Saccharomyces cerevisiae S288C: one gene and its partners. The gene in region 3 interacts genetically with the main gene of each other region. Each region holds a gene or a part of one and is shown on either strand. Other genes may lie near its edges. The genes, in order: TDA2, DAL4, YKL033W-A and RGI1.

The links.
Region 1: mutations in YKL033W-A (region 3) and TDA2 together harm fitness more than expected from each alone (negative genetic interaction), as found in Saccharomyces cerevisiae (2 studies listed by BioGRID).
Region 2: mutations in YKL033W-A (region 3) and DAL4 together harm fitness more than expected from each alone (negative genetic interaction), as found in Saccharomyces cerevisiae (2 studies listed by BioGRID).
Region 4: mutations in YKL033W-A (region 3) and RGI1 together harm fitness more than expected from each alone (negative genetic interaction), as found in Saccharomyces cerevisiae (2 studies listed by BioGRID).

Annotation. Positions count from the first base shown.
Region 1 is NC_001137.3:301,447-306,572, forward strand, and holds TDA2 (Tda2p), read right to left. Parts: upstream 882-5,126; coding exon 501-881; downstream 1-500. Other genes in the region: ribonucleotide-diphosphate reductase subunit RNR1, read left to right, coding at 1-170; VTC1 (Vtc1p), read left to right, coding at 1,360-1,749; aldehyde dehydrogenase (NAD(P)(+)) ALD5, read left to right, coding at 2,584-4,146; 40S ribosomal protein eS24 RPS24A, read left to right, coding at 4,877-4,879.
Region 2 is NC_001141.2:404,854-411,712, forward strand, and holds DAL4 (allantoin permease), read left to right. Parts: upstream 1-3,614; coding exon 3,615-5,522; downstream 5,523-6,859. Other genes in the region: tyrosine protein phosphatase YVH1, read right to left, coding at 20-1,114; DAL1 (allantoinase), read right to left, coding at 1,407-2,789; DAL2 (allantoicase), read left to right, coding at 5,954-6,859. UniProt on the Saccharomyces cerevisiae protein: Transport of allantoin.
Region 3 is NC_001143.9:371,928-377,196, forward strand, and holds YKL033W-A (haloacid dehalogenase superfamily protein), read left to right. Parts: upstream 1-2,577; coding exon 2,578-3,288; downstream 3,289-5,269. Other genes in the region: ubiquitin-protein ligase TUL1, read left to right, coding at 1-2,178; TTI1 (Tti1p), read left to right, coding at 3,529-5,269. UniProt on the Saccharomyces cerevisiae protein: Nucleotidase with XMP as the best in vitro substrate. Low catalytic efficiencies of YKL033W-A observed with XMP and other substrates suggest that these could be secondary activities for this protein, and its primary substrate is not yet identified.
Region 4 is NC_001137.3:289,253-294,599, reverse strand, and holds RGI1 (Rgi1p), read right to left. Parts: upstream 2,535-5,347; coding exon 2,049-2,534; downstream 1-2,048. Other genes in the region: CCR4-NOT core ubiquitin-protein ligase subunit MOT2, read right to left, coding at 1-1,550; RRT13 (Rrt13p), read right to left, coding at 3,801-4,358. UniProt on the Saccharomyces cerevisiae protein: Involved in the control of energetic metabolism and significantly contribute to cell fitness, especially under respiratory growth conditions.

The DNA of each region.
Region 1 (5,126 bases), on a different chromosome or scaffold from region 3:
ACGTTCAAGAGTCTAAGGTAGAAGTTCCTGAAGTACCTGCCCCAACTAAGAATGAAGAAAAAGCTGCCCCCATCGTTGATGATGAGGAAACCGAGTTCGACATTTACAACTCTAAGGTTATAGCATGTGCTATTGATAACCCAGAAGCTTGTGAAATGTGTTCGGGTTAATGAGGGCTAAGTTTTTATTTCTTCAATTCTATTTATCAAAATTTGGGTGTTTACTTCGAGGTGTAATTTATATTTTCTTTTGTTTTCTCTGATAAAAAAATTGGTTTCCATTCTAATGCCAAGCTAAAAGGTACCTATATATGTTTACTAATTATTTTTCTACTTTGCATATATACATAAAAAAAGTCGAATAATTTAACATGAACATTTTAAGCTGTCCTTGTAAGAAGGCCATGATACAGATTCCCCCCTGCCCCGAAATGGGGTCTAGGCAACATTGTTCTATAAAGGAACGCAACTTTATGTGGCAACATTAAAGCAAATACATATCTACTTGTGAAGCCAAAGAATTGTAATTAAATAGCACTCATTATTATTTTTGTCTTCTAGTTTATAGTTGAATATACCATCTTTTTTAGATTCCCAGGATGCGCCTATATCGTTCTTCAATGAGAAATTAGCGTTTTCTTCGTTGAGTCCTTCAATGTTCAACGTCGTTACCGAGGCAATATATTTATACAAAGAAGAGTGCTTTTCAAGTTTTTCTAGGACCAGTTTTATAAGAAGGTTGGAAGTTGATTCGGTCGATAAATTGATTTCATTGTCATCTTTTAAACTATCATAACTTTCTTGAATTAACGTAACTAGTTTTCTTTCGGGCAGAGGAGAGTTATCACTCCTTCCATCCTTTATTTCAATCTGCATACTCATTTTTTTGTTGACTTTCGTAATCACTTACTTTCACTTATCCTAAATAATTTACAGTGCGTTTTGTAAAACTGCAAGACGGTATCCGCTAATAGAGAGAAGAATACGTATTTTCTAGTAAAGAAATTTACAAAAAAGGAGGTATATTGGCATCGCTATTTTCGGATAGAATGGCAAGAGCGATTAAGTATAGCAAACTGGGAAATGTATAGAGACAAGAAATAATGAGACTCTCTCTTCAAGTATCTTTGAGCACGTATCAGATAACTAATGGTTATATCGCTTGTTACGGTCGGTGATACTTCACTTTGAAATAGATATTAGCACGTGTCTCGGAGAGAAGAAAATGAATGCTGCATTATACAAAATAGATAACAGTATTTAAGAGTCCATATTTCCATAACCAGCGACTTGCATACACGTAACATACGATTTACTACATTATCGAATACGATTAAACACTACGCCAGATTTCCACAATATGTCTTCAGCACCATTATTACAAAGAACACCTGGGAAAAAGATCGCTTTGCCCACACGAGTTGAGCCAAAAGTGTTCTTTGCCAATGAGCGTACCTTTTTGTCGTGGTTGAACTTTACAGTTATGCTGGGAGGCCTTGGTGTAGGTTTACTGAATTTTGGTGACAAGATAGGTAGGGTCAGTGCAGGACTATTTACTTTTGTTGCCATGGGTACAATGATATACGCGCTTGTAACATACCACTGGAGAGCTGCTGCGATTAGACGTAGAGGATCAGGTCCTTATGATGACAGATTGGGGCCCACTTTGTTGTGCTTTTTCTTATTGGTTGCTGTCATTATCAACTTTATATTAAGATTGAAGTACAATGACGCTAACACTAAGTTATGAAATTGTAATTCCAATATCGTAAGCGTGGGTTACGCACAAACTGTATTTTCAAGATGCTCACAAATAATTTAGTTTCATATATACGCATATATAGAAAGTATCCATCTATAGGTAATCATGAACAATAAAAATATTCACGTTTCAGGAGCTATTGTTTGTACTCATTACGTTTTTGGATATCAAGTTGAAAATCAGCCCCTTTCACTAGATATCAAGCGCTATAAAAAAATTTTAATTTCGATGAGGCATCTTTCTTTTCTCTTGTGGCTATGTAAGCCTAAGAAGCCGTTTACACATCAATGATAAATAAGTATACAAAAAGGGTTCCATTTTTTTTTTTGGCCGCTACCGGACTAGCAAGGGCCTAATGGTACGCTGAGCGTAGTACAACCAAGCGCTTGTTAGCCGTAGAGTTAAGCTCTTGACTACTATTACGGTAAAAGCCGGGAACGTGCGTAACAATTTTTTTTTGCATTAGGTTAAAGAGGCTCGCTCGCGGAGCCTTTAGAATACCGCTTAAGGCGCCAAAAGATGGAAGCTATTCTCTTTCTTTTTTTTTTCACAAACTGAGAGGGGTTGTGTATCGTTAAAAATGTTGGAAGACTTCTGACTCATCACTACGCAGATTGTTAGAGTTTTTCGATGAGAATGGCTTCAAAGAACAGAACAAAACACGATTATATAAGCCCCATGTAAAAAGAACGTCTTAATTTATTTTGAATTTAGGACTTCTTGACATTTTTAGCATATATAACAATACGATAAGTGTCTCATCAAACGTGGTTAAGACAGAAAACTTCTTCACAACATTAACAAAAAGCCAAAGAAGAAGAAATGCTTTCTCGCACAAGAGCTGCAGCTCCGAATTCCAGAATATTCACTAGAAGCTTGTTACGTCTTTATTCTCAAGCACCATTACGCGTTCCAATTACTCTTCCAAATGGTTTCACCTACGAACAGCCAACAGGGTTATTCATCAATGGTGAATTTGTTGCCTCGAAGCAAAAGAAAACGTTTGACGTGATCAATCCATCTAACGAAGAAAAGATAACAACTGTATACAAGGCTATGGAAGATGATGTTGATGAAGCCGTTGCAGCGGCTAAAAAAGCTTTTGAAACGAAGTGGTCTATTGTAGAGCCGGAGGTTCGCGCTAAAGCTTTATTCAATCTCGCTGACTTGGTTGAGAAACACCAAGAAACACTGGCTGCCATTGAGTCAATGGATAATGGTAAGTCATTGTTTTGTGCGCGCGGTGACGTCGCTTTAGTATCTAAATACTTGCGTTCTTGCGGTGGTTGGGCAGATAAAATCTACGGTAACGTTATTGACACAGGTAAAAACCATTTTACCTACTCAATTAAGGAACCATTAGGCGTTTGCGGCCAAATAATCCCTTGGAACTTCCCTTTATTGATGTGGTCATGGAAAATTGGGCCTGCTCTGGCTACAGGTAACACCGTCGTATTGAAACCCGCTGAAACAACACCTTTATCTGCCCTTTTCGCTTCCCAGTTGTGTCAGGAAGCAGGCATACCCGCTGGTGTAGTCAATATCCTTCCGGGTTCCGGTAGAGTTGTTGGAGAAAGATTGAGTGCACACCCAGACGTGAAGAAGATTGCTTTTACAGGCTCTACTGCCACCGGCCGCCATATTATGAAGGTCGCTGCCGATACTGTCAAGAAAGTCACTTTGGAGCTGGGAGGTAAATCACCAAATATTGTGTTTGCTGACGCTGATCTAGATAAAGCCGTCAAGAACATTGCCTTCGGTATTTTTTACAACTCTGGTGAAGTTTGCTGCGCTGGTTCCAGAATATACATTCAAGATACAGTATACGAGGAGGTGTTGCAAAAACTAAAGGATTACACCGAGTCACTAAAGGTCGGTGACCCATTTGATGAGGAAGTTTTCCAAGGTGCTCAAACATCTGACAAACAGCTGCATAAAATTTTAGACTATGTCGATGTAGCAAAATCAGAGGGGGCTCGTCTTGTGACTGGAGGGGCCAGACATGGCAGTAAAGGTTATTTTGTCAAGCCAACAGTGTTTGCTGATGTCAAAGAAGATATGAGAATTGTTAAGGAGGAAGTGTTTGGTCCCATTGTAACTGTATCCAAGTTTTCTACTGTTGATGAAGTGATTGCTATGGCAAATGATTCTCAATATGGGTTAGCCGCAGGTATTCACACTAACGATATTAACAAGGCTGTTGATGTGTCCAAAAGAGTGAAAGCTGGTACTGTTTGGATAAATACCTATAACAACTTCCACCAAAATGTTCCTTTCGGTGGCTTCGGCCAGTCAGGTATTGGCCGTGAAATGGGTGAGGCTGCTTTAAGTAACTACACTCAAACAAAATCTGTCAGAATTGCCATTGACAAGCCAATTCGTTGAAGTAACTCAGGCCCGAGTTGACTGCTCATTGAAGGTATGTATGATAAACATTATAGAATAATGAAAAATGCCTCGTGACATACAGATAAAATCTAACAAGGATATATTCAAAAAAAAAAAAACAAAACAAAAAAATAATAACGTGATAAACATTAATGAACAATGTATTTACATTCTTAAGCATAGGTGAGAAATTACCTTCTTTACTTTTTTTTTTTTTTTTGGTGATATTGTATATTGAAATATATAGTAATCAAATTCGTTTCATTGATCAAATTGCTCACTAGTTCTGTTTTTCAAAATTTCATCTTTATAGGTAGATACAAGTGCCAGAGAGATATATAAACAGAAAACTCTATCGATGTGATAATGTATGCCAATATCGGGACTGTACACCCACACATTTACAAGCCCACACATCCTACAACTTTCTTTTCATTTCTTGCGCTTCTTCCACTGTCATAAAATATGATTGTCCGATGCCGCAGCCTACGCCTCGGCGAGTATTCATCACCTAAGCGTCCTGTAGGCGGGGCCACGCAGTCACTAACGGAATACTCCAGAAGGCTGCTTCCTTTGGAAGGAAGTTTCACTCGGTTGTCCACCCAGCGCTTTAACTTTGTCTCAGCGAAGAAGAATTGAATAACTATAGTGAATTTCAAGAGCTAGAGGATGGTTAGGTATTAGTTCAAAACAAAGATTTCAAGAAACCAACATAGATTAAGCAGAAATGGTATGTTAAAAAGTGCTCAGATGAAAGATGACGTCCCATATTCCATGTTAAAGTTGCCATGAGTTAGTATAAAAGGCAATAAAGGTACCATAACGAGAAAAGAAAGTAAAAGAAGAAATGTTTTGCAAATTTAAGGTGGCGTAACAGCAACTATTGGCTAATATATTAATGGCAATCATTGTGAAAAGAAATGTGAAATCCGTATCGTAATTGGTTAAATTTATAACTCAAATTTAAACACTCGAAT
Region 2 (6,859 bases), on a different chromosome or scaffold from region 3:
TTTGCTGATTATATCTAAGTTATCTATTTACTTTCTCGGATTCAAAATTAACCATGTTGGGCAAAGCAGTGGATTGTAAGGGAAATTGATCCACTTTACTAGTTTGCAGGTGGATAGCGGGGATGACCCACTTACCACAACTGCACCTAGATCCTTTCCAGTTGTAACCGCCAACTTTACTTGAACAGCCTGGACATGAAAACTTCCCTTCTAACTCTTGCTTGCCTTGTAGTTCAGGTTGCATCCATTTTAAAGGTTCGATGAAAAAATGAGAGCAATTTGCTTGTGACTCTTGAATATCAATAATACGATGGGAGTTGGCGGCCCTCTTGATGAAGTGTCCCTCTGATGATTCCTTACTTGGTGGGTCATGCGCGATGAAAGATGTAGATAACGCCAATTTGGTTCTGCACTTCTTACATCTCACTGCGGTGACCTTGCTCTTCTCAGCTTCAGTTAATTTATCCAAGTCTTGCGACGACTCCGAATCTTTAAACATTCCAGAATTGGAGACCAATTCGCTGCCCGATGGATCTAACTTGATAGATTGCTTCAGCTTCCACTGCTTATAGGCTGGGTTGTCGAAATCGACAAAATCTCCACCCATTTTCTCAAAGAGATGTAATTGTTCCATGAAATTCTCGTTTGGCTCAACACTCGGTTTCTTCCTCTTGACAGCGTGCATAGCCATTGATAGTGACAATCCATAACGATACATTAGGTAGGCTACTATGAAGGTTACAGATCTCGAGAGTCCTGCTTGACAATGAGCAAAAACAGCACCACGTTGTGGTTTCTTCTTGAAATCTACTAATCTGGGCGAATACTCAACTTCATTGGGGAACAAGCATTGATCAATGAATCGGTTCGTTTCATCGAAGTATTGCAGCACATCAGTCACATCATCATCATCGATGGGTATGTTTTTTAGCGTGTAACCTTTCCTTATTAGATACTCTGGAATGACCTGGAATTTGATAACAGAAAGAATATGAGTAATGTTAAATTCTGCACCCAATGGTCTGTGGTCAATAATTGGACGGATTCCGCCAAGATATATGCCTCCTAATATCCTGGTAACTTCCTCGTCTACTGAGTTTGCATTTCCAGCCATCTTCCCTGTAATTTCTTGCTGCTTTTACTGCTTTCTCTGCGTTATACCTGTATTAGATGCATTCGATGAGCTGAGGTATAATTTTTTTTTTCAGTTAGATTTCTTTTTTTTAGCGCTAAGAAAATTTCAAAATTGCAGCCGTGGAGACCCAGATGGATATATTGTAGATCATTAAAAGTTGTGTCATCTCAAACTAAGAGTGGTTAATATATGTATGTGTGTAAATAACTTTTTATAAATTTGTTTCTTTTATTTCTATAGAATTTCTTTAATAAAAATTTGCAACTTTAGTTTAACGTCTAGAATCAAGCAAAGTTTGACCCAATGGTGTTTTCGAGACTCCGTTGGCATTCGTATATACCACCTGGCCTCTTAATATGGTTTTCAAAACTGTGCCCTTGACCGTCATCCCGTTGTAGGCAGTCAATTTGTTTTTGAAGTAGACACTTGAATTACTTATTTTATGTTTACTTGCAGTATCAAATACCACCAAATCAGCATCGTACCCGGGAGCTATAGTGCCTTTTTGGTGAGATAGTCCTACCTGATGGGATGTATTTTTACAGCACCATGTAACGATATCGACCAAAGAGCAGCCTTGGGTAAACATCAATGGCAAACCTAGTCCGACGGAAGCGATTCCTCCCCAAGAATCGAAAAAGTCACCTTTTTGCAAGTTCTTCAACTCAGGGGTGCATGGCGAATGGTCGCTCACTACTGAGCCTATAACACCTTCACGCAAAGCGTCCCATAGGCCTTGGCGATTAGACTCAGAGCGGATGGGTGGACAACATTTAAAGTAGGTGGCTCCGTCTGGGATCTGCTCTGCAGCAATACACAAATAGTGGAAACAAGTCTCTGTTGTGACTGGTAGCCCTGACGCACGTGCCTTTCTGATCAAGGGAATTGCTTTCATTGATGCCAGATGAACTATATGTACAGGAGGAACTGGTCCATTTCTGGCTCTCAAGCATTCGAGAATCAAATTGATGGCGTCTATTTCGAAAGAATCCGGCCTCGAGGACAAAAACGAAGAATATTCACGATGGCTTTGCTCGGGTTGCTGTTGGTCCTCATGTGCCTTGGGCAACTCAGCATGAAACATCATCATGGTATCCTCCTCGGCTAAGACCTTCAAGGCTTCTTCTATATATTCTTTGCCAATTGGAGGGAATTCTTCCACACCAGAATCAAGCAAGAATCCTTTGAACCCGCGAACGCCAGCTTTGACAAGCGGAATTAAGTCTGGCAAGTTGTGTGGTACCAGTCCACCCCAAAACCCAACATCGCACCACATTTGGCCCTCAGCAGCTTCCAATTTAATTCGGAAATTCTCCACATTTGTTGTGGGAGGAATAGCATTTAGCGGCATATCAACCACCGTTGTGACCCCGCCACTAATAGCAGCTTGAGTTCCAGTTTCGAATCCTTCCCAGCTAGTCCTACCGGGCTCGTTCAAGTGAACATGAGAGTCCACAAGTCCAGGCAGAATTGTACATGGAGATACGTTCTCCAGCGTATGTATTTCATATTTGGTTATCTCAGTTTTCTCCATAACCACGGAGCCTTCTAAAACATCCAGAATCGTGCCTGATTCGGTCGAATACACAATAGTCGCAGGTTTATTTGCACCATTGATAATGACATGGTCGGAAGTGATGGCATTGATAGGCATCTTTGTTCTTCGCAGTATTTCACTTTTTTTTTGCCTATACGTTTTTGCGAAATATACACTTTTCTAACCTAATTAAAGATAGCTAAAAGAAAAAGGGGTACCTTCAATTACAAGATACCAGTAGAAACTCATCACTTTTGCGTTACCTCATCATTGTCCCCTTCGATGAGATATGCCTCCTCTATATAGATAATTAAGCACCGCAATTTTGAACCACTTCTCCTGATAAAGTTCCATCAGTCCACCATCAACACATTTGCGCCTATTCGATGATCCGCAGTAAGGGACAATAGAATCGAAACATGCAGTTCCTTTCTTTCCTGCAATTCTCGGGTCTAATGTGGCTCGAGGGTATCTCTTATCGGTATTACTTTCTTATCAATGAAAAATTTCTGCCAGGGAAAATGCGCCCGCTTTTTTTCCGGCCATCCTTACTCGCTGTCGCATACAAAATAGCGCCTCTAATCTAGTTGCGATAAGGAATGTGTATGTGTAATTGAAGATCCAGGATGTTTTCCTTTTCAGGGAGATGAGAAGGAATAATAGGATGGATTGACCGCTTTGCTGTCACGTCGATAAGGTTCCTTTAAAAATTGTGTCCAATGATTAGCATAGAGAGGTAGAGTATCAGAGAAACAAGTTTGTAATCGAGAAACTTGATCTGCTAGTGTTGAGCATAGAAGGCTAGGAAAACATGGGGAAGAAAAAAAAAGTATAAATAATTAGCTTGATGAGTAGTTTGAATATATATGTTACTTTAGTTTCCCTTTTTGACCTTTTATATTCATCTACATCTTGTGATATAAAACATCAACAAAGACGAGAATGGCTAACGACGCTCTAAGTGCTATTTTCAGTAATCCTTCGAGGAAAGGTGTCCAACCCTCCACATCTATTGTGTCATATACAAACAATGAAGATGATATTATAGATGTGGAAAATGGGAAGTTCAACAAGAACAAGAATATCAACACTAATGTGTATGTGGACAACTCCTCAATAGAGGAGAGCGAAGTCGTGCCCTTGCCCGAAACAAAGTCCATCTGGAGTAAAATATACTACGATTTCATTGTGTTAGACAAGACAACTTTGAATGTTTCGTTGAAAGAGTCGTTCTTGTATAACAGAGACTTGAAACCGGTTGAAGAAGAAAGAAGGTGTTGGTCCTGGTTCAATTACTTATATTTCTGGCTGGCAGACTGTTTCAATATTAACACATGGCAAATAGCTGGTACAGGTCTACAACTAGGTCTGAATTGGTGGCAATGTTGGCTTACAGTTTGGATCGGCTACACTTTTGCAGGTATCTTCGTAGTATTGAACTCGAGATTTGGTTCCGCATATCACTTATCTTTCCCTATTACTGTTAGGGCCTCATTTGGTATATTCTTTTCTATGTGGCCGATTATAAATCGTGTCGTGATGGCTATAGTATGGTATGCCGTGCAAGCCTGGTTAGGTGCAACGCCCGTGGCACTGATGCTAAAATCTATTTTTGGCAAGAATCTGGAAGATAGAATCCCAAACCATTTTGGTTCTCCAAATAGCACTACTTTTGAATTCATGTGTTTCTTTATATTTTGGGTGGTCAGTATACCATTTGTCCTAGTGGCTCCTCATAAAATCAGGCATTTATTCACAGTAAAAGCAGCTTTGATCCCCTTCGCAGCCTTTGGATTTTTAATCTGGGCTTTGAAGAAATCGCACGGTAAAATTGAGTTGGGGACGCTGAATGATTATTCACCTCATGGTTCCGAATTTTCATGGATATTCGTTAGATCCCTAATGGCCTGTGTTGCTAACTTTGCCGCTTTGATTATCAACGCCCCTGACTTCGGTAGATTTGCCAAAAATCCTCAAGCGTCTTTGTGGCCACAATTGGTTGCCATCCCATTGTTCTTCGCCATAACATGTTTGATCGGTATCATTGTTACTGCGGCCGGTTATCACTTATATGGGGTTAACTATTGGTCACCACTGGATGTACTTGGTCAATTTTTGGAGACCACTTACACCAGAGGTACTAGGGCTGGTGTGTTCTTGATTTCTTTTGTATTTGCCTTAGCTCAACTGGGTACAAACATTTCTGCCAACTCTCTGGCATGTGGTGCTGATATGACGGCTTTGTTTCCAAGATATATTAATATTAGAAGAGGTTCTTTATTCTGTGTGGCAATGGCTCTATGTATCTGTCCATGGAACTTAATGGCCAGTTCAAGTAAGTTCACCAGCGCTTTGGGTGCTTATGCAATTTTCCTTTCCAGTATTGCTGGTGTCATTTGCGCGGATTATTTCGTAGTAAGAAGAGGATATGTGAAATTAACACATTTATTCCTGGCACAGAAGGGTTCCTTTTACATGTTTGGAAACAAATTTGGTGCCAATTGGAGGGCCTTTGTTGCGTATATTTGCGGTATCGCTCCAAATTTACCAGGTTTTATAGGTGATGTTGGAGCTCCAAAAATTACGGTTTCAGAGGGTGCAATGAGGTTATACTATTTAGGTTATCCGGTAGGTTTCTTTATTAGTGCGGTGATATACCTCATATTATGTTACTTTTTTCCTGTCCCTGGTACTCCCGTAACCAATTTTCTGACAGAGAAAGGATGGTTCCAAAGATGGGCTTATGTTGAGGACTTCGAGCAAGATTGGAAGAATGAGTTACGTAGGGATGACCTCTGCGATGACACAGTCAGTATCTATGATGGCACCGAGGAAAAGATAGTTTACTAAATAAAAATCCCAATTTATTCTCTTACCAGTAGTGATCAGGAGAATTGATAATTTCTTCAAAACACCTTAATATTCGTTCTGTGTATTTTTATGTACCTTTCTTAATCAAATTTATCAGCTTCATACATGCATTCCCGTCTGAATAATGTACTGATGATTAGCTAAACCGTCATCAACCTACCAAACTTGCGCTTGTTTGAGCCTATCAGAACTCCGGATAATTCCGACATCTTATCTTTGACTCGAATTAGCGATAAGATAAAAACACAGGAACCACAATGAAATTCAGCTGGAAGAAAAGTCTAAATTATAGACACATTTTCTGAGATCAAATGCTATAAAGGAATGGAAGTGCATTTTGCTATGATATGGGGAAATTATGAAGCCGATCAAACAATTAATTGTATCTAATCGGTCTCTTCTTTAGAAAAATGAAGTTTTTTAGTTTGGCAGATGAGGCAGAATTTAAGTCAATAATCATTTCAAAAAACAAAGCAGTAGATGTTATAGGATCTAAGTTAGGTGGTCAAGTGGTTTCTTTTTCAGATGAATGGTTTGCTTCTGCTGAAAATTTAATTCAGCCAACTGCTCCTATAAGGGATCCTACCAGATTTGTTCATTCAGGCGCATGGTACGACGGCTGGGAAACACGAAGACATAATGAGATGGAATACGATTGGGTTATCATCAAGATGGGAGTCGCTGCTGCCCATATTATTGGTGGTGAAATTGACACTGCGTTTTTCAATGGTAATCATGCACCATTTGTATCAATAGAGGCGCTCTATGACGAGGGCGAAGAAGGTAATATAGTGGAAGATGACTCGCGTTGGGTTGAGATTGTTGAGAAATTTGAGTGTGGTCCTTCGCAAAGGCATCTTTTCGTTAGAGGCAACGGCCTTACTAAAGAAAGGTTTACTCACATCAAGCTGAAGATGTACCCCGATGGAGGAATCGCCAGATTTAGATTATACGGAAGAGTTGTTCCTCCAGAACTCAAAACGAAGGATCATATAATTGACTTGGCTTATGTTTGCAATGGTGCTGTCGCTTTAAAGTATTCTGACCAACACTTCGGTTCAGTTGATAATTTGCTACTGCCAGGTCGAGGTCATGATATGTCGGACGGCTGGGAAACCAAAAGATCGAGACAACCAGGTCATACTGATTGGGCGGTAATTCAACTGGGCAGGGAGTCTTCTTTCATTGAGAAGATTATTGTTGATACGGCACACTTCAGGGGGAACTTCCCTCAGTTCATTACCGTGGAAGGTTGCTTGAAGGAGTCAGAATCAAGTGAGAACACTGGTGAAGGAACATGGGTAGAGCTAGTTGGT
Region 3 (5,269 bases):
AATCAACTCCAGAGACTCAAGCAGCAGTTCCGAACAGAGCACAATACGTTCGTCAATATGACATATACAGATAGTTTTCGAAATATTACCGGGCTTAAACTCAGCTACCAAGACATGCTGAATAATCCTCTCCAAAATGCCACTTACCCACTACCAGGAAAAGATTATGATCGATGGTTTCCCAATCAAAACTACATGGTTTTGCCCAACGATGTCATAGAGGCCATAAATACTGAAGTCTGGAATACTTCGAATGATGACGCTTCCAACCTTTTCCCTCCCAATATTACAAGCACCCTGTTAGGTAAAATCGACCTTGTATCAAATAACAAGTACGAAAAGATAAGGATGCCTGTACCCAGATTCTATGAGCCGGCAACTGATTTTTCAGAGGATATTCCTCCTGAAGGTGAGACGTACTGGTCTGAGTGGCCTTCGTATGGCGAACTTCATAATGTGAGTTTTCAGCATGGCGAAATAGCTATTCAAATTTCTCATATGAGCAATCTTCAGGACAATAATAATTACTTAAGGAGAAATTTCATAAATAAGAAAAATGACCGTTGGAAGTTGTTAAATCTTCAGATTGATTTCTCAGATAAGGCTGAAAAGGAAAAGCATTCCATATACTCGAAGGCTGTATATGACATTCAACGTGGTAGAATTCTTTCTATTTCTCAGAGTTCTAAATTTCATTCATTGTTCGCCCTTCCTCATTACATGTCCTTCCAGAATGATTATAATGAGAAAATATTTAATGATGTCAAGGAACTCGTTGATGAATTTTGGAATTTCACGGATTACACAGATGTCATGACCATGAAAGACGTACAGGATGCTTATAATAATGCCAACTTTAAATGTGAGTATTTGATTTTTCTTCAGTTGGAACCATGGAATCAGTACACAAGAGATCAGATCAAGTTAATAGATGATGAATTGAATTGGCCCCTGGGGCGTCCGGCAAATCTGTCTAGTTTACCGCCCATAAATGTTGTCTCTGGATTACTGTATTCTCCAGACTGTGGCGTACGATTAGGGCTTCATAACGTAAAGGGTACACGGTACGAATTAAAAATAATGTCGATCAGAAAACATCTATTGTTCGGTATTGCATTATTTGCAGCCCAGATATACTTATTGCTTACTCAGATGCATCATACAAATACCCCCTCCATGGTCAACAAAATCTCATTCTATTGTTTCTCAATGATAAACTTAGTCGATGGTTCCTTGGCCACTTTGTACTTTGTCGCAGCTAGTGTCGTTCCCGAATTGTACTTACCCCTAGTTATAAGTGCTTTTTCGTGCTTTATCTTGGCATCTATTTTTGAAATACGCTACTTAATTTCAATTTACGCTTCACAGGTTAACGAACAGAATGTTGGGATTATCAACCTCCTGCGTGGTAACACTGGCACATATGATGAGAATAGGCCAAGACCCGCATTCATTCCCGATGAAGGGTCTATCGGTGGCTCGTTATATGGTAGGTTTTTCTTTATGCTAATCATTTTCACGTTTTTAATATTGAGTTCAACTTCATGGCCCCGTCAGCTAAGGATGGTATTTGAGTATATCCTAATCTTCATATTAAACTCATATTGGATCCCTCAAATTTTCCGTAACGCCGTTAAAGGTATTCCTTCAAGAAGAGAAAGAGCAAGATCTAGCATTGGAGGAAATAGAAGTCAAAACAAAATGCCATTATTGTGGAGTTTTGTAATTGGTACAACAATAATTAGAAGCTTGCCCGTTGTGTATGTTTTCACTTACTCCTCTAATGTGTTCAGGCACCATAAAGATGTTCATTTCGTCGTATTTTTATCATTGTGGCTACTGTTTCAAATTAGTATACTGTATTCTCAAGATGTATTGGGATCGCGCTGGTTCTTGCCTAAGCACACAATACCTGATGGATATTCGTATTTCAAGCCCCTTTCAAACGAGTATATATCGGAGCATGGTGGTGGAACTGCTGAACATACCGTTGATTGCGCGATATGTATGTCTGATGTTCCAATTTACATAGAGGAAATTCCAGAAACTCATAAGGTGGATCAGCACTCTTACATGGTAACGCCTTGTAATCACGTATTTCATACTTCGTGTCTAGAAAACTGGATGAATTATAAGTTACAATGTCCTGTGTGTAGGTCACCATTACCTCCGTTGTAGATAGCATCTCTTGATCCTAAGAACTATATACTGTATTTGTATTCAAGATCCAAGATACCGTGACATTTCCTATTTGTCAACCATTGCAATAAGAAATTTTACATGAATAGTGCATTAACTTTTTATTACCACTAAAGTAGTTTTGCTTAAATATACAATAGGCAAACTAGACTTAGGATAATTCACAAGGGTTTTTAGTGTTACCCTTTTTCCGTATGACACATTTTTCGAGGAATTAATTATTGGGAAAATATTGCCGATCAAGATCCATTGAGGTGAATCTAAATCGCTCCAACTCCAAGTTGGGGAATCTTAAGACCGTCACTGCCTTCCAATTACACTGCTTTTGTTTCTTTGACAATAAGAACGCAAAAGTAAATTTCTTTTTTTTAACAAATTATGACACATCCTGTAGCAGTGAAGGCATGTCTATTTGACATGGATGGTCTTCTCATCAACACAGAGGATATTTATACTGAAACTTTAAATGAAACTCTCGCAGAATTTGGTAAGGGACCTTTAACTTGGGATGTGAAGATTAAATTGCAAGGGCTTCCGGGACCGGAAGCAGGAAAAAGGGTGATCGAACACTACAAATTACCAATAACTTTAGATGAGTACGACGAAAGAAATGTTGCATTGCAATCTCTTAAATGGGGTACTTGCGAATTTCTTCCCGGTGCATTGAATTTGTTGAAATACTTAAAGTTAAAGAACATTCCTATTGCATTATGTACGTCTTCGAACAAGACTAAATTTCGCGGCAAAACAAGTCATTTAGAGGAAGGTTTTGATCTTTTCGATACCATTGTCACTGGTGATGATCCAAGAATTGCAAAAGGTAGGGGTAAGCCTTTCCCGGACATTTGGCAGTTGGGTTTAAAGGAATTGAATGAGAAGTTTCATACCGATATTAAGCCCGATGAGTGTATAGTGTTCGAAGATGGTATTCCAGGCGTAAAATCAGCCAAGGCATTTGGTGCACACGTTATTTGGGTCCCCCATCCAGAAGCACATGCTGTTTTGGGGGACACAGAAGCTTTGTTAGCCGGTAAAGGTGAACTATTGTCTTCTTTGGAAAAACTGGAAATGTCCAAATATGGACTGTGAATTTCCAGTATTTACGTAAACAATATATTTGTATATTGCACTAAGTATAAAAAGGGATGATTTGTATTTGATTTATCACACTACTTTATGTGGTGAGCTCAGTTATTTTTGTATAATATACTATAGTACATGTTTGGGTTTTTATCGTTTTATTTCAATCTCATTACAATAAAATATTATAGTGAACATGCACATCGAAAGGAAAGATTGCAATAGCTGGTGTTCAAAAGCTTTGTGCAAATGAATTCAGACACGAATGCATTTAAGGACATAAGAATTTCATGTGTTGAACTTTCTAGGATCGCTTTTTTACCCACCGAATCATTTGATCCAAATTCATTAACGCTATTGGCATGTTTAAAAAAAGTTGAAGAGAAGTTATCAGCATACGAAGACGATTCACTTTCGCCAAAATTTGCAGATTATGTTTTTGTTCCTATCGCGAGTTTATTGAAACAGCCAGCTCTCGGCGAGTCTCAAACAGAATACGTCCTACTAATTATATTTCATCTCTTACGGACATGTTGGTCATCTAATGGTAAATTCTCCGAGCAATTGGGACAACAACTGTTCCCCTTAATCACATTTTTAGTCAGTTCTGATAAAGATAATCAAAAATTAATTACTAGATCAGACGAGTTCAAGTACGCTGGTTGTTTAGTCTTGCATCAGTTTTTCAAATCAGTAAGATCGCAAAGGTACCATAAAGAGTTCTTTTCGAACTCAAAACCTAATTTACTTCCCGCTCTAGGACATTCTGTTACCATTCTGTTGAAAATTCTGGAGCAATCGCCCCAAAATAATGAGCTTCAATTCAAAGCTTTGGCATCCTTAGAAGTACTATTTCAGGACATAATATCTGATGGTGAAATGCTTTCCTTTATTCTTCCGGGGAACGTTTCTGTTTTCGCTAAGATACTTACTAAACCAGGCCGTCAAATACATTATAAGGTGTGTGTTCGCACGCTAGAGGTTCTGGCAAAATTATTGGTTTTGGTTTACGATGATTTTAGTTTGGATATCAAAGTAAATAAGTTAACAGATATTCGAGAGTTGAGCGATACAAAGTTAAAACACGAGATAAATCAATCATTTATGTTTAATGGACCTATTGTTTTGTTACGCACAGATGGGAAGACGCATAGAGATACAAGTTGGTTGACGGCAACTTCTGGGCAAATCAATATTGCTTTGGAGGCCTTTATACCCAAACTATTAAAACGTAATAATGAATCAATTGATGAGGCATTAGCGACATTTGTATCAATCCTTTTAACTAGATGTGAAAATTCTTTAAATAATTGTGAGAAAGTGTTGGTATCCACTTTAGTACATTTGGAGCGTGATCCGATGTCCAAATTACCATCGCATTTGGTAAAATTAAAGGAAGTTGTCAATGAAGACCTGCACAAGCTAAGTGACATTATTCGGTTTGAAAATGCAGATAGGTTATCATCTTTATCATTTGCAATCACTATTCTAGAGAAAAATAACGAAAGAGATACAATGATCAATGAGGTAGTTAGATGTTTATTTGAATCGCTTAATGAATCTATTGAGCCACCAAGTTTGATCAATCATAAAGAGAGAATAATTGAACAAAGTAGTCAATTAACAACTACAGTAAATTTCGAAAACTTGGAAAGTACGAATGCTCTGATTGCTTTACCAAGATTATCAGAAGACATGTCACTCAAACTGAAAAAATTTACATACCATATGGGTTCTTTGTTGTTAGAAAGACATATTCTCAACGATGTGGTGACAGAGTTGATTTCAGAACAAGTTGATTCACCAAGAACGCAGAAGATAGTTGCGCTGTGGTTAAGCACCAATTTTATAAAGGCTATGGAAAAGCAACCGAAGGAGGAAGAAGTCTATCTACAATTTGAATCTGATGCCAACTATTCCTCTTCCATGGTTGAAGAAGTGTGTTTGATTGTATTGGAATTTTGCAATGAACTTTCTCAAGACATTAGCA
Region 4 (5,347 bases), on a different chromosome or scaffold from region 3:
TCTGTGATTGTAATATTGTCATTTACACCAACATTGACACTCTGCAAGAATTGAACGACAGAAGCAGTGTAGTCTATTGGCTTTATAGCCAGGATCTCCACAAGTTTGTTGGCTAATGTATTGTCACTTTTCTTTGAGGCCTCAATCTTGTCCCAAGAAAACAAAGACGGATACTTTTTATAAGTTTCTTCGTCAATAATATTGGATTTGATAGATATAGGGCGCTTCTGATAATTTGATAGAGAATGTAGTCTTGCATCCAAAAAGTCAACAGCATTCCCTAGTGCGTCATAAGGATCTTTGTATTCCTCTGCAGCAAGAGATTGCTTCTTCTTGCTACCATGGGAGTGACTTGTAGCATTGGTATTGGTAGTAGTTGTCGTACTTGTGATGGTATTCTCTGTTGTGGGGGTAGTATGATGGCCCAGAGAATCATTTAATGTTGGCAAGTTTATGGAGCTGCTGTTTTTAGAGAGATTGATAGAGGTTACAGGTGTTGCTGATTGAGTAACTCCCCAAGGATTTGACCCTGCAGGGACCGGAGCAGGTGTTAATACCGGTGTTCCAGCGTTTGTATGGCTGTCATGATGTAACTGAGCCCTCATCGCCGCCGGTGAAGGTGTGCCTGTGAAATTTTCACTTAGTAAATTGGTATTTGAACCAGCGGTACTGGTAGATATATTGTTGTGTATTCCAGATCTAGTGAATGCAGTTCCGCCACTTTGCTGTTGCGCTTGTTGTTTATTGTGGAGTTCTCTTTTATTAAAAGAATCAGCTTCTTCACCAGGTTCATGCAAAAACATACAGTTGGGATTTGGGCATGGCAATCCTCTTAAATAAGAAGAACAGTATTTAGTAGTACCGTAGGCAGCTTTGATCAGGCGGCCATCCATATACGTCCCGTCTACCTGAGCTATACATCTTGCAGCATCGTCCTTGGATCCGAAGGTTATGTAAACGCCATATCCTGGTGAATGATGGTGATAATGCTCGCTGGTTGTGTTGTTAGAATGGGGTGTTTTTCTATTAACCACAATCTTATTTATCTTACCATATTGGCCAAAATATTTTTCAGATTTCAGAGTGGGCGCAACTTCCTCGTATGGAACAGGAGGATTGATGCCAACAACGTACACTAAATTCTTTTGGATAACTCTGGTACCAGATAAATGTTTCCTATTCGTATATTCATTCTCTTTACGTTCTTTTTCTCTATGCTTTCTTTCTTTCTCCTTCCTAGCGAGCTTGGCTCTCTCCATTTTTAACTCCTCCGGAGATAATGTGACGTATCTGACGTTCTCGTCATCATATTTACGACGACATGCTGGGCAACGGCCATTTAATTCTGGATTTTGTCTGATATTATTGTAGCAAAATTGACAAATTTGATAACCACAGGGACAAGGAAAAAAATTTTTATCAGTAATATCCATTGGTTCAATACAAAGAGGGCAATAATCTTCTTCATCCTCCGATAAAAATGACGTATCAAAATTGCTTAAGGCGTTGTGGATTGCTTGCAAATTTTCTTGAACGTGTGGATTCATCATTATGACTGGATTATATACGATACTTTTATTTGGTCTTTTGTACTTTTTATTAAGTTTTGGGATTGTTGCAGAGTAACAAAAGCAGTAATCTATACTATTCGAACCACTACTGAAAACCCTAGGAGGGCTTTTACTGTATGTAGTACACGTCTTGATATGCTTTTCGGAAATTTTGAAAAGAGAAAGCAAAAAAAAAAATCATATTCACACTTACAATGTTACCCGGGAAGAGACGGCAATCAAGTGGAAGTTCGGGTAATAGCATTCATTTTAGAAGCGTCGATATAATCATCGACCAGGTAGTAGTTTAACAATACATTATCAGGTTTCGCGGCGTAACAGTGATACTACTTTATAGCGTTTCACGTCTTCGGGCTCAACATTTCAATAAAAAAAATTCAAAAAGTTGCTAATCGTAAATCATTAAAGGTACATAAAACTACTTATGAATTTGGGAGGTTAGGATTCAGTACTAACACATTCTCTATGACACAACCTTTAATTTGCGCCTACAGGATGTGTTTTGTAATCGACAAATACCATAGCATCTTCATGTGTGCAAACTACTTGAACGTCTATCTTGAAAGGTCTACCATGGTATTCAGTTTCCTCACCGTAATGCCAGGTGATTTTATCAAATGTCTCTTCCTTCGATTTTTCGTGAAATTTAAGCTCAGGTTTCCTAACGGCTTGCTTAATATCTTTCAAAAGATGCTTTTCAATATGCTGGTGCAGGTGACGCACGAACTTCTTAGAATGAGAATTTGCAGCATCACTAATTTTTTCAGGGTCCTCGTGCGACTCGTGTAGCACAAATGGTGGGTAGTAATTTAATTTACAGTGCAAATGATCGAAATCATCATCTTCAGTTTCATTGGCAATGAAAGTTTCAAAACCCTGCAGGTCTTCAAAAACTTTCACGGTTTCACCATCCTCCGTGGTAACCGTTTGAACTTTTACTTCCTTCTTATCCTTCTTTGTCATTTAAAGTGGAGACGAAAACAGTCGATACCTAATTTATATGTTCTATGGGCAATTATTAGAATACAATGCAGAACTTGTCCCTTTATGAAATGTTTTGACCAAAGAAATTTGAACGTGGAAGAACAAAAGATTCAAATATACGCTAGAAATCTTTTGCCTTATATATGTGCACACAATCAAGTAAAGACACTTGTATTTTTCCACCCAGCAATACCCCTTAAGAACGCTGCCCCTTTCATTCTATATTTAATTAACCATACAGTAACTTATAATACCCCTGATTACAGGATGCATTTGTTATGGAAGTCAATTGCCGAGAGCCGTCCACATTATGCTGGTTGCCTCGAGGATATTATTTTTTAGCACATCCGCAATCTCGCCACACCGCATTTCCGTTCCTTCGGCCCCTGAATCTGGGGTAAAAAAAAAAAAAGCAGTCATCTGGAGATTGTATCACCCAAAAAGAAATACGTTTCTGGCTCGTAACAGGTATGACAACACGTTGTCAGAATACCAAAGTTTAGTCTGAACATTTGACTGCGTGTATATCGGAAACGCTGGATTTTTGGTGCCACCTTCTTCGTTCATGGCATATGTGTAAGTCACGTAGGATTAATGTCATCAATTTCATGAGTTGAGTGAAAGTGCAACTTTACAATGTAGTCAACATACTGCACCGTCATCATTACATATTTCAGATTAAGGGTGATAATGCCGCTTTCATAATTCCTATTGAAACCTTGTATTGGCATATGATACTTCAGGAAGATGTGTTCGGCAATCGTTGCTTTTACTTCGGTACTCTTGACAGATTATGTCATTTATTCGCACCAGTAAGGATGTAGCTCTTGTCTTCTGTAGCCGAATTATCGAAGTTAATGAATAATATTACACACAGCTACAGTTTCAGGAAAAATATGAGACGAGTCGCAAATAAGCGGCCATTGTATACATTATGACAAAGTGAGTGTGATAATTACTGCATGGCCCAATGCATGAAAATATGGGTCAACTTGTACCACATTTGCTACAAATGGACGATAACTGAACTGGGCATAAACAAAATTACTTTTTCCTCGATTTTAGTCCTGCTGATTGAGCTAATAATACATAGCTCGCATGTAATTAATGTTGATATATTAAACTAATAAATAGCACATAACTTATTAATGTAAATTCTAAAGTTTTATATTTGTTTACACCGAAAAAGTACAACTGAGTTCCAAACGTGACAAGGTAAGTTCTGCATCATTCTCACATCAATCTTCAACTAAAGTCCAAAATTTCTAAAAGATTTCGCTTGTCTCGTTCTACCGCTGCCACAAGTGTGTTGTCCTTAAAACTAACGTTCCAAACATTATCAGCACCACTCAATGTATCTGAACGGACTAACAGCCCACTATTTAAATCATAAATATTGAGCAAACCTTCAGATCCACTCACTAATACCTCATCAGAAACGTGCAATGCGGTGATTGTATTCAACTGCGTGTGATCGAAAAAGTGCTTCAGAAAGTAAGTGTTAGCGTCCCAACACCTTATTGAACCGTCTACAGAAGCACTGACTAAAAATTTATCGGATAATCCCAATAAACCGACTAGGGCTCTGTGACCCCGCAAAGTGTACATAGCACCAAGTATTTTGGCGCATGGCGATGCTGAATTTGTTGCGTAGGAACATTCTCCATTATTCCTTATATTTTCCAAATCCCAAATTCTAATAGTGGTATCCATACTGGCAGAGATGCACCTTTTTCTTTCATGATCGTAGATTGTCGAATAAATACGATCCGTATGTCCACTCAAGATATATAGACATTTCATTTGCGCAACATCCCACACAATCAATGTATTATCATAGGAGCCACTAATGGCAATATTACCGTGGCCTGAGACAGTTCTTACAGTCGCCGTATGTCCTCTTAAAACACCAACAAAATATGGGTTCTCCTCAGGGGTATGAAAGACTAATGGATAATCATGTTCTTCCCCATGATCAGGAACGGAGGACTCCTTGGGCAATTTCCAAACGTGCAAAGTGTTATCTCTCGAACCAGTAACAATGTACTTGATATTTTTATATTCTACTATATCTAGGCACCTCACCGTAGAGTTATGACCTTTAAACACATGGGTACAACAACCTTTCTTAATATCTCAAACTCGCACCGTTCTGCCTGTAGAACCGCTGACTAAAATACCGCCATGGGCATACTTCAATGCCCAAACCTCACCATCATGACCTGATAGTTGTAAAAGAAATCTTTTATTTACTAAGTTATAAACTCTGATCGTTTTATCACATCCTCCTGTAATGACATAATTATCTTCAACTTGCAAGCACGCAATAACACTCGTCATATGGCCACTTAACGTGGTCCTTTGAGGTGTATAATCAGGATCAAACAAATTTACCAAAACAGACATTTCAGACACAACTTCCAGTACTTTATTAAAGCTTCGCAGATAGACGTTCTGATATAATTCCAAGGTAATAGAAAGCGATTGCTGTTTAAGTTGAACATGGTTTGCATTGATTTATTTAAACTTCGGGTAAATTGCTGGCTGCAACTTTCATTTAGACGAAAATGCAAAATCAATTGCCCCTTGTTGATAGCTTTAAGTGGAAGCCGTTGACTAGGTTTTAACGGGAGTGTGACTCCAAATGAAAAAATTATTGAAAGCTAAGATTATTTTGCACTATGACATTCTCGATAATCCCTTGGAAAGATTTAAGTGATTAGTCCGAGTACCGATATGGTTGAGAATCAAAGGTTTCTTTTCACAACGGTGACCCCACCATTTGAAAAAAA